Linked DNA regions of Saccharomyces cerevisiae S288C. The protein of the gene in region 1 purifies or fractionates together with the protein of each later gene. This does not show direct contact. Each region holds a gene or a part of one and is shown on either strand. Other genes may lie near its edges.

Region 1 (4,836 bases):
CACTCTTGTTCTTTGATACCTCAGCTATAATAACCTGTTTAATGGTGTCAAGATCTAAGCTTTTAGCTTCGTTAGGGTCAATGTAAACATGTCCCTTAGCATTCACCTCAGTAATCATCTTTGTGATTTCTCTTTCTTTGATAGCTTCAAATTCACGTTTCTTCTTTTCAATTAAGCGACGGTGAGCCTCTTCTTCCAATTTAGCTTCAATAGCAGCTTTTTCTTCCAAAATACGCTGTTGTCTGACCTCAGCATCCTGTTCAGCATGTAGGGCAGCATGTTCCATATGTTTTTGCTTTTGCTCTTGAGATCTCTTGACACGTTCGTCAACAATCTTGGAAATCTTTTCAAGGTCATCCTTGTTCTTCTTAATTAAAGTTTCACGGGCAATTCTAACCTTTTCCATGTATGAAGCATTGTTGAAACTGTCAACATCGTGTAGGACATTGGATAATTCAAGCAACTTGTTGTGGATGTAAGAATTGCGGATAATAACAGGATCAGATTCTTCTTCCTTTTCTTCACCGTCTTCAGTTTCTTGTGGCCCAAGAGCTTCGTCAGTTTCCTCCTTTTCTTCTTGGACTTCTGGCTCTGTGTTTTCTTCTTCAGAGACTTCTTTAGAAGCAGTTGATGCGAAAATGTCAAATGGATCTTTAGCGAATGTAACCTTAGCAGATTCATGATCGATGGTAATTGAAACATAATCTTCCACAGCAGCTTGTAACAGCGATTTTTCGATGTCCCAAGCAGATAAGTCTAACGGAGCAGGTAGGGTAGCGAGCTTGTATAATTCGGACTGGGAGACAGTAGTGAATTTTTGAGAGGCAGCAACAAAAACCCTTCTCATAATGACGTCTCTTAAAGGTGCGATGTATTGGCTGAAGTAGGTTTTAGAAGACAATTTGACTAATAAATTTTCCAGCTGTTGTTTCACTGTGTCGACATCAAAGTTAACTTCAATGATATCGTACAATTCTTTCAATTCCTCGTCAACTTTACCATAAATGGATTCGTCTTCAATAATGGATTGCAACATTTCCTTTCTAGTTGGCTTGGCGTCCAAGTTTAATAAACGGTACATACGTAAATGAGGATCGTAGCCAATAGATGGAATTTCGTCTAGTTGGGTAGAAATAGCGGATAGGAAAATTGTAGAAGAATATGTTTTGAATTCTTCTTCCGTGGCTCTTGGATTGGTAGAATATAACTTATAAAACTTCTTCCAGGCAGTAGTGTGCAACAATGGATCACCGGAAACAAAGAAGACCTTTACGAGATTCTCGTAGTAATTAGCCAAAGTAGATGGTTTAGGAGCACGTTTGGATATTTTCATTAAGTGGAAAACATCCTCAATGGATCTATAAGCCTCGTGCCACAATTCCAACTTGACAGAAACATCGACTTGTTGGAAACGTTGATCTAAATAACGTTGCAAGGTATCAGCATCGCTCAAGTCAACTAAATTGTTTCCTGATTTACTTTGTTGGTAGTTAGCAGCATCTAAATGTTGACGTAACATTTCAGCTAATCTCTTGAATTCGTTTTTACGCTGATACTTCAAACAGAAATGCATAGTTTTTTTAACGACACCAGAATAAGTAATTTCCAACAAAGCGTTGTTTCTCAATAAATCTAAGACTGCACGATATGATTCCCAAGTAAATCTTAACCATGAAGTAATGGCTTCATCATTGAAACCAGCCACAGATTGATCTGACTCGTAAACAGAAATCAGCAAATTTTCTGGGGTAACACCACCTTCCAAATCATCATCGATTTCTTGCTTTTGAAGTTCGTCAGCTCTAGTTTGTTCAGAAGCGATTTTAGATTCGACTAAATCAATGAATTTACGTGCAACGGCACCGACAGAAACCAAACCTTCGGTAGATCCTTGAATTAATTTTTTGTACTGGTGCAAACCGTCTTTTAGCAGCTTACCTTTCTTTAGTTCAACACCAATTTCCAAGAATTTAAACACGACTGGCTCAACAGTTGAAGGTGTAGCCCAACGGATTCTTCTGGCAGTTATGAAATCATGCAAAGATTGTAAAGCAGCTTGTTTTTCGCCAACAGAAATAAGTTCATCGGCTCTCTTAATGGCATTTTCAGGACGGAATGGTGGGGGGGCCATCTTGATGTTTCCTGGGCGTTTGTATGGTTTATTTTGGAACTCTCTCTATAGTTGTAAGTATATCTACTTTCGATTTAGTTCACCAAGAAAAATTTTTCACCTGGCAAAGCTTCTCGGGCAAAGCGACTGAAAAATTATCATCTTTACCCGGTGGGTGATAATTATGACAGGCAGATTCCAATGACAGAATAAAAGGAAAGGATGCCTTGGTTTTGATAATTTTATAAAATTTATCACTAAAATATATACCATAGAGGAAAGAACTTGTTCACTAGATCCTTTCTGATTGGAAGGGATAAAGAATAAAAATACAAGGACATGAAAAATTTGAAATAATTATGCGGATTGGGTCATCAACTCAACAAGCTCGTTCACGGGATCTTCATCGTGCCTTGCGGTTTCAATGTTGGTCAAGGTCTTTTTAATACCGACATTGAAGTTAGGACAGCTCCTTGATAATTCATTAATAACTTTAACTCTACCAGCATCGTCAAGAAAGTTTGATTCTATCATGACGTTGTTCAATTCATCTAAATTGGTCATATTTGGAACTGCTATCTCATTGTCGAAGCAACTCAAGATATCCATTTGTTGAAGTACCGAATAAGCTGATGTAGTAGTCATGATCAATAAACGACGGTCTTGTGGGGGTTTACGCTTCAATGCAACCTTTAGCATTTGTAAAATGTTATTAGAGAATCTTGGACCAATTGGTACCCAATCAACTAGAGTCTCTAACGAATCAATAACAAGAATGTTTAGTGGAGATTTATACGCATCTCTGAAAGTGTTATCAATATAGGCAATTTTTGCGCTTTCTGACATGCCTGACAACTCGTTGGGAGAAATTAACCTGATGAATGGGAATCCAGATTTTAAAGCAATTTCAGCGGCTAAAGCTGTTTTACCGGACCCTGCAGGGCCGTGGATTAATAGAGATACTAACCTGGATTTATCACTCTCGCGAACTTGGCGGACGTAACGGGCTCCGTTCTTCAATATTGAGTTAACTCGTTCGGAATAAAGCATCATTCCACCTTCCACACATGTTTTCAAATCTTCTTCACTAATCCCAAAAGCGGGAGTAACATCGTTGAGTGCATTTAAAAAGTCTTCTCTTGTTACTTTAAGTTTTGCTATATCTTTAGTGTTAAGTTTTGTGGCACCTTTCCCGATGTTGACGGTTTTGTTGATTGCAAAAGAACTTGCACTCTTCACTAAACCCTCAATCTCAGCACCAGAGAAGTTTTTTGTTAACGCAGCTAACTCAGCTAAGTTAACATCGTCGCTCATCATATTATTTTCCCTCATTTTCTTCGTCTGAATGTCGAAAATTTGGAGTCTTCCTTTTTCATCGGGTAAATGAATTTCAACTTGGACTTCAAATCTACCTGGACGCAAAAGAGCACTGTCTATTAAATCTTTACGATTGGTCATACCAATAACCAAAATATTATTCAATTGATCAACACCATCCATTTTAGCTAACAATTGATTAACTACATTGTCCCCTACACCGGTACCATCACCTCTTGAACCTCTCTGCTTGAAAACAGAATCCAGCTCATCGAAAATAATAATATGTAAGGAAGATTCCTCACCCTTGGCCCTATATTCTGCTTCTGCATCCTTAAATAAATTACGAATGTTTTCTTCTGAAGAACCAACGTACTTACTCAAAATTTCTGGACCATTGACGATTTTGGGCTCTTTGGCATTCAGCATTGTACCAATCTTTCTTGCAATTAAGGTCTTACCAGTACCTGGAGGACCGTACAATAGCAAACCTTTAACATGAGAAATACCCAGTTTTTCTATAACTGAAGGAGGAAAGATTCGACTTGCAAACGCTCTTCTGAAAATTTTAGTAAACTCTTTATCCAAACCACCGACACCCAAATCTTCAAACTTGAAATCCGGTCTGATCACAGCATTTGATCTTGGTCTTAATGAATTTGATGATTTCAAATTAACTAAACCATCTCTTCCTTTGAAAAAATTAATTTGTGTTTGTTTTGTCAAAATTCCCTTTGTCTCTATCCCAGTTGCAACAGCGGAGGTTGGTTCAATATCACCCAAATCGATTGCTTGGACATTTCTAATTTTTAAGTCAAAGAAATGGCCTTGGAACTCCATGATAAGGTACTGGGTGGGAGAAAATATTTGAGATTCGTAGCAACGAACAAATTGTTTGGCTAACTCATCTTGATCGAATACCGTGCTTACCGCCTTACCTCTAGCTCTGAATGAGATATCTATATCTATTGAACCAAGATACGATTGCTTACCGGAATACTTGAATAAATCAAATGCTTTTGCTTGCACGTCTTGATTTAGGGACCAACCACCCCAGGTACGCTGGTTACCGTTAAATCCAATGGTTCCCGGTGGAATGTCGTTGGAGTGTCTAGTTGTGAAAACAAATAAATTATCGATAATAATATAAATGTTATTAGGGAAATCATTTGGTGAGACAGCAGCTACGTTTGCGAGTGCATAGGAGTTATTTGGACAGTTTGACACCTTTAAATGGCGTGTACGGGTATCCATGTTTGTCATATCTGGTGGAGTATGATTTGCAGCAGCTTTTCCAAAACCAGGTATCTTGAACATACTCAATTTATAAAGGCTGAATATACGGTACTATTTGCTCTTATCTTTGAGAGAAACAACGGTAGTACTTAAAGGCTACGAATAAGCCAATT
Region 2 (4,218 bases), on another chromosome or scaffold:
TGACCCTTTTTTTTTCCTCTATTGTACAAGTTTTCAACAGGCTTTAGGCTCTACTTCTATTAATGATTATAATATAATGCATTACCTTTCAGAAAAATCTTCGGTAATCTCATGTTATGTATACGCATGCGATCGTGGAGCCAAATTACACCGACATTTTATTTTTTTTTTTTTACTTAATAATTAATCAATCAATCAGTGGCTTTAAAAGTCTCATCTTTGTTTTTTGCCAGTACCAAGTATGTCGCACTTGGAAGAAATATTATATTTATAAATATTTACATATCTATACATCAACGAGCTCAAAAACAACAGAACATAATCCTTATCTTACGCCATGTCATATAATAATTTACACATAAGTCTTTTGCCCCCTCCTAAGCTATTCGTCGTCTTCTTCATCATCGTCACTTTCAGCGGTTTCTAACCACGTAATGAATGGCTTAGCAGCCCTACGAACCTTTTTGGATACCTCCTTAGGTACAAATTTCTTGGATGATTTGGTACCAAATCTCATGATTTCTTCTTCCGAGATGATATCATTATTGTATAGTTGTACCAAAATTTTTGGTAATAGTGGGATTAGATCCTTATGTTCTAAACCTAAAAATCTTTCAATACCACCCATAAAGTTCTTTTCGTATTCTGGAGTGACTAAAATTTTAGTGAAAAATGCATTATGTTCAGCGATTTCGTTTACGATATCCTCATCGAATAGACATTGCGCCAAGACACAACCAATTTTTGGATCATTCAAGACGTCTAGTTCTGCAGCCTTCTTATAAAGCTCCACATCTGATGGTAAGTTCTCCTTATCTTCACCAGCCTGCTCCAAAATCCATTCACCATATTCATCCAGTTGAGTGAGCTCAGAGTTCACTTCTAGTTCCTTGGCACGAGCTCTAATGGCTTCTTCAGACATATCAACCGCCCATTCGTCATCTTTGACCTCGATATCTTCTAAGGTAGAGGCAGCCGCCTTGATTTGACGAGATAATTCATCTTCGTCTTCGTCATGATGTTGTGGAGTGGATGAGCCGGTGCCATCTGAAGGTGCATTCTGAGACTTACCTTGAGCAATATCACTAATGGACAACCCACCACCACGAACATTGGCCGAAGCGGTAGCTGCTTTCTTCTTCTTCTTGGAACCAGAAACGGAGTCAGGTGGGTTTTTCAAAATGAAGGATGATAGTTTATGTCTCAAGTCCATTGGAGTTCTCTTACCACAGGCTTTACAGTCTCGAACCAAATCATTATCTTTGGTAATGATGATCTCCGTTTCTGGATTTTTACAGCTTCCACAGAGAACAAACTTGTTAATAAAGCCATCCAATACGTCTTGCAATTTGGCAGGTTCGTGAACACCATTAACTAAATAACGATCTTTGTCAACAGAGATGGAAGTTTGAGCACCTAATTCGAAACCAAAATACTTGACAATATATGGAGCAGGTCTATTTAGCGCGTGAGAGATGTCAGCGACGTTCAAAACGGCAGTCTTGATACCGTTACCTCTACCTTCCACCTTGGCTTGGATGGGAGGCATTTTGTAACGGTAAAATGGATCATGATTATCTCTACAAATATTAATAGACATCTTGTACCAGTGAACGTGTGTTTATGCAAATAATAGGAGTTTTTTTTTTTGGAAAAAAAAGAAGAACACACGAGATACTCTTTAATGTAGTGGTGTCTTTGTAAGTCAGCAAAGTGGGAAGGAGGGGTAGGCGTTTGCCACTAATTAAATGCTAAAAGTTCATCTATTTTCTTTTTTTTTTTTCGTTCATACTTCGCGATGAAAATTTTTCACTATTTACAGAACGGGTAAGAGCATGATTTTAAGATCATTTCTTGTATGATGTATCCGGAGCTTATGTATATGTGACGTGTATGTATTTGTACGTATTGTTTTGTATATTTGATTGTTAGAACTGAATTATTTCACATTGTCTTTTGATCATCGGCGTGTTCTGTGCTACCCAATTACTATCTCTCAAGGCAGCTTTTGGGTCGTGAGATTGGGATAGCCGGTGCTTAGCAAGTACATCCTGATATTTACCTTCAAATTCCTTGGATTCTCTGATCACTACGTTTTCGTCAAACTCCACGTAAATCCTGGTGTCGTAGACCCTCACCAGAACATCGTCCACCCTTAAAAAGAACCGGCTCAGCAGCAGTAACCTTTCGTTCATAACTCTTATTTTGACGTTAAGGATTGATATGCCATTGTCTGCCAATTCGTCTTCGAAAAGAATCATGTCGTCATAGAATAGGATTTTATCGTGTACGGCCAGTTTGTCAAGGGGCAGCTTTTGATCGTTATCCAGTCGGAATTTCGACTCAGGTGAGCTCTCTGTGCCCTTATACCGCGTAGTGTAGGTCCAGTCGTACTTGTGTATGATATTTAAGGAATCGTCGTTCACATCGTTAGTGAACCGTTGCGCACCATTAGTTGAATTTTGTCTTTTTTTAGAATTTATCCAGTCGTTTGAGTACGCAACACGAATACCTGAATCCTGGAGTTGAACCTCCTTTAAAGCATCCAGGGCATTGAACTCTATGGACCAATGCTGTTTTGAATTTTCGATCCTGATGTAGTTGTTACCAAAAATCATCTCTGGCAAAGTCAAACCTTTGAGTTTTTCGTTTTCCCAGATGTCTAATTCCTGCGAGTTCAAAATGGGCTTCTTTCTGGAGGAGATGGTCCAGTCGTTGATGGAGATGGAGGGGTTGTCCTCCAAGGGTAACGTGGCCCTTGGAGATGGAATGATAACAGACCCACAGTGGAGACACTGCGGATTGTTTGGGTTATTGCAAATATGTCGAGGTGGTGTTGCTGGGGCTGCAGTTGGTTGCACAGAGGGTGTAGTGATGCCGCTAGTTGGCATGGGCATTCTTCGAGCGCGCACCGTTTGAGCGTGCATTTCTCTAGCAGCATTTATTTGAATAGTGTTTATCCCTGATGATCTGAGCGGTGGAGTGTTTCTTTTGGACATTTTTTCTGGGGAGCTGTTGTGTCTAAAGCTGCCCTTAGGTCATGTATATGGGGTGCGTAAGTATGGTGATGCATTTTGTTATTATATATTACAAGATGGAAGAGAAAGGTTAACCACCGGGTAAACGAAGCGGGAAAAGGAACCAAAAATAAAGGACAAAAGGCTTTATCATTAAACAATAAACGTGGGTGATGAAGACAAGAAGACGGGAAGGCTGGTGATTTGTAAAGAGGAAAGTCTGGACAGATTGTGCAAGGAACGAAGGGATGAAACAGATAGTCAAAAGAAGCCATGCCATCAGAATAGTTGCAGCATTAGGAATCATAGGCCTGTGGATGTTTTTCTCGTCTAATGAACTATCCATCGCTACGCCGGGCCTAATCAAGGCGAAGTCTGGTATAGATGAAGTGCAAGGGGCGGCTGCTGAGAAGAACGACGCTCGGTTGAAAGAGATCGAGAAGCAAACCATTATGCCATTGATGGGCGATGACAAGGTGAAGAAGGAAGTGGGCAGGGCGTCGTGGAAGTACTTCCATACCCTGCTGGCCCGTTTTCCGGACGAGCCTACTCCTGAAGAAAGAGAGAAACTGCACACGTTTATTGGGTTGTATGCAGAACTCTATCCATGCGGGGAATGTTCATATCACTTTGTAAAGTTGATTGAGAAGTATCCCGTACAGACATCTAGCAGGACGGCTGCCGCAATGTGGGGATGCCACATTCACAACAAGGTGAACGAATACCTAAAGAAAGACATATATGACTGTGCTACCATCCTGGAGGACTACGATTGTGGATGTAGTGACAGCGACGGTAAACGCGTGTCTCTCGAGAAGGAGGCTAAACAGCACGGTTGAACAAAGAAAGATTACATTAATCAATTATAGTAATAGTAAATTTTTTATTATTTTATATTTTAAATTTTTTTACTTTCTCAGTATTTATATTACATAAATATGTATATATCAAAAAGTTTCTGTCGTAGAAGAGACCCGATCCGAGGTTATTGAATGTAAGTGCGGGAAAGTGCAGATAGAATGACAATGAATGCTCCGGAAAAAAAAAAAAAAGTACGTGACTTACTTGCCCAAGTAAGTAAAGATGCCAAGTGTCTTTTATGCTAATAGTGTGCTAATTCTCGTGTACAACACTTACAACAGAGACAAAGAGTTTTTTCTGGAGTGTGAGCGGCTTGAAGCAGAGGCATCCAAAAGAGCGG

What was found. Proteins that work in one complex are often made in the same cells at the same time.
Region 2: the proteins of RPG1 (region 1) and TIF5 purify together in Saccharomyces cerevisiae (affinity purification with mass spectrometry; 7 studies listed by BioGRID, with this or other methods). This does not show direct contact.

The regions. Positions count from the first base shown.
Region 1 is NC_001134.8:396,147-400,982, forward strand, and holds the start of RPG1 (translation initiation factor eIF3 core subunit a), read right to left. Parts: upstream 2,132-4,836; coding exon 1-2,131. Other genes in the region: AAA family ATPase SEC18, read right to left, coding at 2,468-4,744.
Region 2 is NC_001148.4:646,086-650,303, reverse strand, and holds TIF5 (translation initiation factor eIF5), read right to left. Parts: upstream 1,601-4,218; coding exon 383-1,600; downstream 1-382. Other genes in the region: TIP41 (Tip41p), read right to left, coding at 1,929-2,999; IRC16 (Irc16p), read right to left, coding at 3,109-3,468; ERV2 (flavin-linked sulfhydryl oxidase), read left to right, coding at 3,266-3,856; SPO24 (Spo24p), read right to left, coding at 4,151-4,218. UniProt on the Saccharomyces cerevisiae protein: Catalyzes the hydrolysis of GTP bound to the 40S ribosomal initiation complex (40S.mRNA.Met-tRNA[F].eIF-2.GTP) with the subsequent joining of a 60S ribosomal subunit resulting in the release of eIF-2 and the guanine nucleotide.